2 linked regions of the Arabidopsis thaliana genome follow. The protein of the gene in region 1 interacts with the protein of each later gene in a pairwise test. Each region holds a gene or a part of one and is shown on either strand. Other genes may lie near its edges. The genes, in order: LBD21 and AT3G23690.

Region 1 (3,544 bases):
TCCTTGCGTATATGAACTTCTCTCATAACCAGCTTGCAGGCCTAGTACCAGGAGGTACGCAGTTTCGAAGGCAAAATTGCTCTGCCTTTGAGAATAACCTGGGACTTTTTGGCCCTTCTCTTGACGAAGTCTGCAGAGATAAACATACGCCAGCATCACAACAGAATGAAACGACAGAAACAGAGGAAGAAGACGAAGAAGAGATAAGCTGGATAGCAGCCGCAATAGGATTCATACCTGGAATTGTCTTTGGATTAACGATTGGATACATATTGGTTTCCTACAAACCAGAGTGGTTCATGAACCCTTTTGGCCGAAACAATCGTCGACGCAGAAACACCACCACCCACTAGAGAGGTAATGTTCCGACTTTTGAACGAGTTTGGTAGCTTTCCATCAGAATGAATTTTATTTCTGTTTTAACAACTTATTTTCGTTGTTATAGGCTTATAACCTATCTGAATAATCTGGAAGAGGAAAGTCAAAGTAACCGGACGAACTCCTTGACGTTAACCAACCACTCTTTTAGCCATTTTCAAATCCAGATTGTTTCCGGTTTAGCTTGTGTTTTTCTCTTCTACTCTGTTTTTAGCCAACTTTGTAATTGAACAACTCTGTTTTTCGCTCTTTAGATGTACATGTAAAGTTGTTTTTTCCCGCGAGTTTGTTGTTATCATTTCTTTCCCCATTGCACTCTCGTATCTAAAAATGTATGTCTATTTGTTCGTATCAATTAAGACGCAGAAATACAGAGCAATTATAGAATTGGGGAATATTTGATCAAAAAGCCATTTTTACTGTATTTTGATAAACTAAACCTTATACATGGATATATTTGAAGTCAGTTGTGTCTGGTTCTTTATTAGACATTTATCTGCTATTTTGCAGCAGCAAGCTGTTTCATTCTCGACATTTTCAAGTAGTTTATACGAGAATGGAGAAGTGTGTTTTGATGATGAGTTTTTGGGTTTTTGGTAATGGCTTAAGGAAAGGGAGTGATTATATGCTAAGCTCTGTGAACTACTAGAAAAGTTTAGGTAAGCCTATGGGATTATAATCCATAGTGGAAAAGGAATGGAAAGCATTACATATTACGATTTAATTTATGAAATGACAAGATAAGAAGATTTAATTAAGTAAATGACAATTCTTTTTAAGTTGCTACTAGCAATTTCTTTAAACCATTACTTGTTTGTATATTTATACTCATTCACAAAGGTTAAGAGATAACAATATTATCGTTTTGTGTACTCATTATAAAGGTTAAAAGATTTAAGGTCCTTAAGATTTATGAATATTTGATTTAACAAAAGAAATTTTAAGTTTTGAGTTAAGTTTTTCTTGTTATTGGTATAAATTCACAACCAAAATGAATGATGAGTAGAAGAGGAAGCCAAAGAAAGAAGAGAAAATGGATAGTGAAGGGGACGGTGGTGATGGTGGTGGGCTTCTCATTCTCTCACTTTTCTTGTCAAATGTCTTGTCTTCTCCATTTCCACACTCCAATTTTTATATGCTACCTGTGATTTTATTTATTTTATTATTTGACTTTCTTTTGCTTAAGCTATGTATAATCTACAATAAGAACCACAAAAAGTGATATAAGCTCAGTTCTATATTGGTGCCCACTTTGTAAGAAATTTCCTCTTCAATTTGGAGCAAAGTGAAAGCTATTTTGTATTTTGCTTGATTGACTTGTTTCCACTAATCCAAAAGTCTTGCTTCTCTTGTTTCTTCTTCTATAAAAGAGAAAATTAGCTGATGTGTTGTTACTTTAACTCTCTCTATCTCTATAGTACCTTTGATTTTTCAATATATGATTATGATTTATGGACTCGAACTCACGACCAATCATGTAATTAGCAAGGAAAAGCTCAAAGCCAACACAAATGATGAATAGGCCCATGCCTTGTCCCATTTGTTTCCTTCTCTCTATTACTTTCAAAAACACTCTTCTTCACAAAAAGTTAAAAGACTCTTATCAATATATAAAGGAAGCACGAGATAAAACTTAGAAAAAACGAGAGCCTAACATTTACCACCAAAAAATCAAAACAAACAAACAAAAAGTTTGAGATGAGAGGGCATGAGCCACGATCAAGCTCATCTTGTGCAGCCTGCAAGCTCTTGAAGAGACGATGCACACCCACTTGCATTTTCGCTCCTTATTTCCGCTCAAGTGACTTGATAACTTTCGCCAAAGTCCATAAAGTCTTTGGAGCCAGCAACGTCAGTAAGCTTCTCGGTGAAGTTCCTGAAGAACAGAGACAAGAAACCGTTAACTCCTTGGCTTATGAAGCTGAGGTTCGTCTCAAGGATCCTGTTTACGGTTGCATTGGAGCCATAGCGTCTCTGCAGAAGAAGATGCTCGAGCTTCAACACGATCTAGCTGTTGCTCGCACTCGACTACTTGCCCATTCTGGGGTCAACAACAGCCAAGTGTCCCCTTTGGATGATTCTCCTGAGCTTGCTGCTTTTCTTGATCTTGTACCTTATAGTGACTTGATGTTGCTTGATGGGTCTACTAATCTTGATGCTTACTTGTATGATCTTGGACAGCCTCCTTTTGTATAGGCCTTATCTCTCTATCATATATCTCTTTATCAGCTGTATTTGCACTTTGCTTTACAAGTTATCTTTGACAATCTAAAGTCTGTCCCTAATGTATGAATTCCAGTATGCATAATCAGATGCTTACTTCATCATATGTATGAAAAAGGGTTTTAACTTCAAAAGTAACCATCACATGCGATGAGATAACTCAGGTACAAGATGAGCCTTGGAAGGTCAGAGTCCTTACCAGTTTTGGACCAAGTGGTAGGCCAAGGTGAGTAAAGTGAGGTGTTTTAGATGAAGAGCTTCTTTGTAAGTCAGGTATGAATAGGAGAGCACATGCTTATGTCATCCCGAAATTCTACCAAACATGAAACATTGATATATATGCTTCTATGATGTTCTTTTTTGAGGCTCCAATAATACAGCCTCATGTGTCAACTCGTCTCCCTCAGGCCACAAGAGTCTTGTCCTGGAGATTCCAGAGTGCAGCAAAGTCACATAAGCAAACATCCAAATCAATAGCTTGGTGGGTTTGATCAAATTCCAAACTGAATTATGAATGACTCTGATAAGAGTTCTCCTCAGAACCGTTCTACGCATCTTGTTAAGTCTGTACACATTCCTGAAACCTGCCTAAGCAAAAGAGTAATTGCAGATCACAGAAAGAGAGATGAGCACAATTTGGAACTGCAGACACTGATACACAAACCATCATACATTGATACTTCACAAAAGTACATCTTGATATGTCAGATACTATGAGAGTTCTTTTGGTAATTCGCATTGCTACTACCAATGTAACTCTACAATGCTAAAAAAGAGAATGAAAAAGAAGAAGAAGAAAAAAAGCATCGCGCTATAACTTAAGAAAACCTAAAGATCAATAATAATAACATCTTCTCCAAATCGTATGAGCTTTAGATCCAACCATTGCTCCTTGCTTCACATCAGTAACTCCTCCACAATCTACAATCCTACAACTTCTTAC
Region 2 (3,928 bases), 5.1 Mb from region 1:
GGGTTTTCTTCCTTATCCACAATTAAGTCCTTCCCGTTCTTGTAAAGGTAACCAAAACTCTCTCTTCTTCACAAGGTTCTATGTTTATGTCCTTAAAGTATCGATTTTTACATTGATCGATGGTTTGTGTTTTGCTTTATGAAGAGCCTCAGAAAAGTATTCATGAGATAGCTAAGACTTTGGTTGGTTCTAAACTTCCTGTAAAGGTAAAGTTTTCTCCTTTGGCTTGTTTTGTGATCTCTATATTGTTTATAATTTGAGGTAAATCTTTATATTAGGTTGTTCAAGCTGATGAGGAAAATAGAAAGTTGATTTTATCTGAGAAGTTAGCATTATGGCCAAAGTATTCACAAAACGTTAATGTTGGGGATGTGTTTAACGGAAGAGTAGGTTCTGTTGAGGACTATGGTGCCTTTATCCACTTGCGTTTTGATGATGGTATATTTGCTTTTACCTAAATTTCTTGGTTTCTTTTTCTTGTTTTGAGCTTATGACATTGATGTCAGTTATGTGGGGTGGTGGTGTATAGGTCTTTATCATTTAACTGGACTAGTGCATGTCTCCGAAGTATCATGGGATTACGTTCAAGATGTTAGGGATGTACTACGCGATGGTGACGAGGTTCGGGTTATAGTCACGAATATTGACAAGTGAGTTGCTTATTTTGGTTACTGAAATTTATTAGCCATGACTCATGATATAGTTTTTAATCAAAAGTTGTTCCAATGCAGAGAGAAATCAAGGATTACACTATCCATCAAACAACTAGAAGATGATCCTCTTCTAGAAACATTAGACAAAGTGATTTTGAAGGTAAAACAATGTGAATGAATGTGTTTTCTGTCTCTTGTGGGTCTTAGTGATTTTTAATAGATAATTGAATATTGTTACAGGACAGTTCTACTGGATCTCCTTCGCTAAGCTCGAACAATGGGGATACAATTGAACCTCTTCCAGGGCTAGAAACAATACTTGAAGAGCTTTTAAAGGAAGATGGGTATATAGACAATATCATTTTATAATTTAAATTTACTATGCAGTCCTAGTCAGCTCTTTGCATAATATCTGCTTATTATAAGTGACTAGGATCACCTCTACTCTACTAGATTTGTTCACTCCTCGATTTGCGATTGAATATATACATGTCAATAGCTATTGCTGGCTGATACTTTTTCTGAACCCATGATGAGTTGGATATTGTTAATTGCATTACTTATAGAATCTATGTTTCAGGCATAACATTTTGGTTCCAGTGTGTAACTAATATTCATTTCTATATTGCAGAATAGAAGCTGTGAAAATCAACCGGCAAGGATTTGAGAAAAGAGTGGTTTCACAAGACCTACAACTTTGGCTCTCAAATGTGAGTTCTGTTTCTCTTTACTTTCCCGTAAGAATAAACTCTGCTCTGTGAAAATTCTGATTCTATGCGCATGTTCACACGCAGACACCGCCTTCTGATGGGAAGTTTGTTCTTCTTGCCCGTGCTGGAAGACAGGTAAATCTCAGAAGCTACCCATTTATATGGCCATAGATAGAGAGATTCTTGGTTTGATTTTAAGTAAAATATTAACATTACAGGTGCAAGAGATACACTTGACAACGTCTCTGGAACAAGGAGGAATCAAGAAAGCGCTTCAGCATGTACTAGAACGCGTCCCCTAAGAACCCGAAAAAAGACTTTTGATACTCAGCCACTATATTCAGCTCTATGCATCTCAAACTCTTGCCAATGTAACTTCAAGTGGAGCAGAGACTACTTCAGAAATATTCTTAAAAGGCAAAAATGCAAATTCATTTGTATCATCATTATATGTCACACATAACACAAACCTATGAAAATATATGTGTATACTCAATGTTTTTAGTTACACATTATAAACTTCATTAACATAAACAACTCATAATACATCAAATTCAAGTCTAAAACCTTCTCAAGTCAATAATTGACTTTTTTGACACCATGTTTTGGTAAGTACCATCATCTTTTAAAATAGTCTCTTAACCAAGAATAATCAAACATGATAATTAAAAACAATTTTATCCTTTTGTTTGTTTTCTCTCCCACAACTTTCCTGTCTCTGCCATGCACATGCTCTCTCTCTCTCTCTCTTTCTTCTCTCTTATTCTCACTCCAATGATTACAGAGGCCAGCCTAAGCAGCCTACCCACTTTCACCATCTAATGTTCCCACATTAACATAAAACACACGTAAGATTCTTCTCCTTTTGAACTGTAAAATTCACTCTTTTTTAATTTCTTAATCTTTCTTATCATTACTTTCTCTTTTTTATTTTGTCATTTTCTCTTAAACCTTCTTCTTCTTCTTCCTTTGATCAGTAAAAAAAGTCACCGCCTTCTTCTTCTCTTTCCTCTTTCCCCTAATTGATCAATCATGCTTCTTCATTTCTAGTTCTCTCTTCCTGACTCATTTCCCTCATTAGATCTTCTTCTCCACTAAACCCATAATTGAAAGAAGCTCTTTTTTTGCTTACATTGAAGTTAAAAAATCATCACTTGTTTTGTTTTTGAAGAAACACACATAAAGTTTGTCTTTTTACTTCTCAAATTTGGTTGTTTTCACTCAATTTCAATCTTGCTTTCTGATTCAGATTCTGGGTTTTCTTCAGAATTCCCAGAGAAGTTGTTGGAATTGAATTTTTCACTTTTTTGTTCATAAAAGTTCTAGTCTTTTTAGATGAACATGGACAAGGAAACAGAGCAAACCCTAAATTACTTACCTTTGGGTCAGAGCGATCCCTTTGGCAATGGCAATGAAGGAACAATTGGAGATTTCCTTGGAAGATACTGCAACAACCCTCAGGAGATTTCACCGTTAACTCTACAATCCTTCTCTCTGAATTCTCAGATCTCCGAGAATTTCCCAATCTCTGGTGGAATCAGATTCCCTCCATATCCAGGTCAATTTGGATCCGATCGTGAATTTGGGTCACAACCAACAACGCAGGAGAGTAACAAGAGCTCTTTGTTGGATCCAGATTCAGTTTCGGATCGAGTTCACACCACGAAATCTAACTCTAGAAAGAGGAAGTCGATTCCTAGTGGTAATGGCAAGGAGTCTCCAGCTTCATCGTCTCTTACAGCTTCCAATTCAAAGGTTTTGATTCATTATCTCTCTTGCTCTATTTCAAAAATGTATACTTTAGGAAACTGTAGCCATATGTGTAAGAAAGTTTGTGTTTTGTGGAGACTTTTTATCTATAGACCTTTTAGTGTGTGTACAAGGTTTTTTAGTTGTGTTTGGTTTTGGATATATGATTAGGTTTCAGGAGAGAATGGTGGATCTAAAGGTGGGAAGAGAAGCAAGCAAGATGTAGCTGGGAGTAGTAAAAACGGAGTAGAGAAGTGCGATAGTAAAGGCGACAATAAGGACGATGCTAAGCCTCCTGAGGCGCCTAAAGATTATATTCATGTCAGAGCTAGAAGGGGTCAAGCAACTGATAGCCATAGTCTTGCTGAAAGAGTACTACACACCTTCTAAAACTGATCTGTTTTTTTGTTGATTAGGGGCTGTTTTGATGTTTATGATGTTGATGTTTTTTTTGGCTGTGTTTTGGTTTCAGGCAAGAAGAGAAAAGATTAGTGAGAGAATGACGTTGCTTCAGGATCTGGTTCCTGGTTGCAACCGGATTACAGGGAAAGCAGTCATGCTTGATGAAATTATAAATTATGTGCAGTCCTTGCAGAGACAAGTTGAGGTATGAATTGTGTATTTCATAAATGTTCTTGAAAGTTGGAGTTTGTATATCTTGAATCTAAAACTCGTGGTTTGTTTCTTTAGTTCTTGTCCATGAAGCTGGCTACCGTAAATCCAAGGATGGAGTTTAATGCTAATGCTTCTTTATCCACAGAGGTAAGATTCTGCTTTGTATCTATAATGGAATGGTCAGATTATGGAATGTTTTGT

What was found.
Region 2: the proteins of LBD21 (region 1) and AT3G23690 interact in a two-hybrid assay, tested with the Arabidopsis thaliana proteins (one large-scale study listed by BioGRID).

The regions. Positions count from the first base shown.
Region 1 is NC_003074.8:3,472,960-3,476,503, forward strand, and holds LBD21 (LOB domain-containing protein 21), read left to right. Parts: upstream 1-1,962; 5' UTR 1,963-2,076; coding exon 2,077-2,574; 3' UTR 2,575-2,889; downstream 2,890-3,544. Other genes in the region: RLP35 (receptor like protein 35), read left to right, coding at 1-353; AT3G11100 (sequence-specific DNA binding transcription factor), read right to left, coding at 3,531-3,544.
Region 2 is NC_003074.8:8,529,426-8,533,353, reverse strand, and holds the start of AT3G23690 (basic helix-loop-helix (bHLH) DNA-binding superfamily protein), read left to right. Parts: upstream 1-1,995; 5' UTR 1,996-2,698; coding exon 2,699-3,118; intron 3,119-3,283; coding exon 3,284-3,484; intron 3,485-3,584; coding exon 3,585-3,719; intron 3,720-3,802; coding exon 3,803-3,874; intron 3,875-3,928. Other genes in the region: AT3G23700 (Nucleic acid-binding proteins superfamily), read left to right, coding at 1-47, 145-206, 279-438, 530-650, 732-813, 894-997, 1,285-1,363, 1,448-1,498 and 1 more.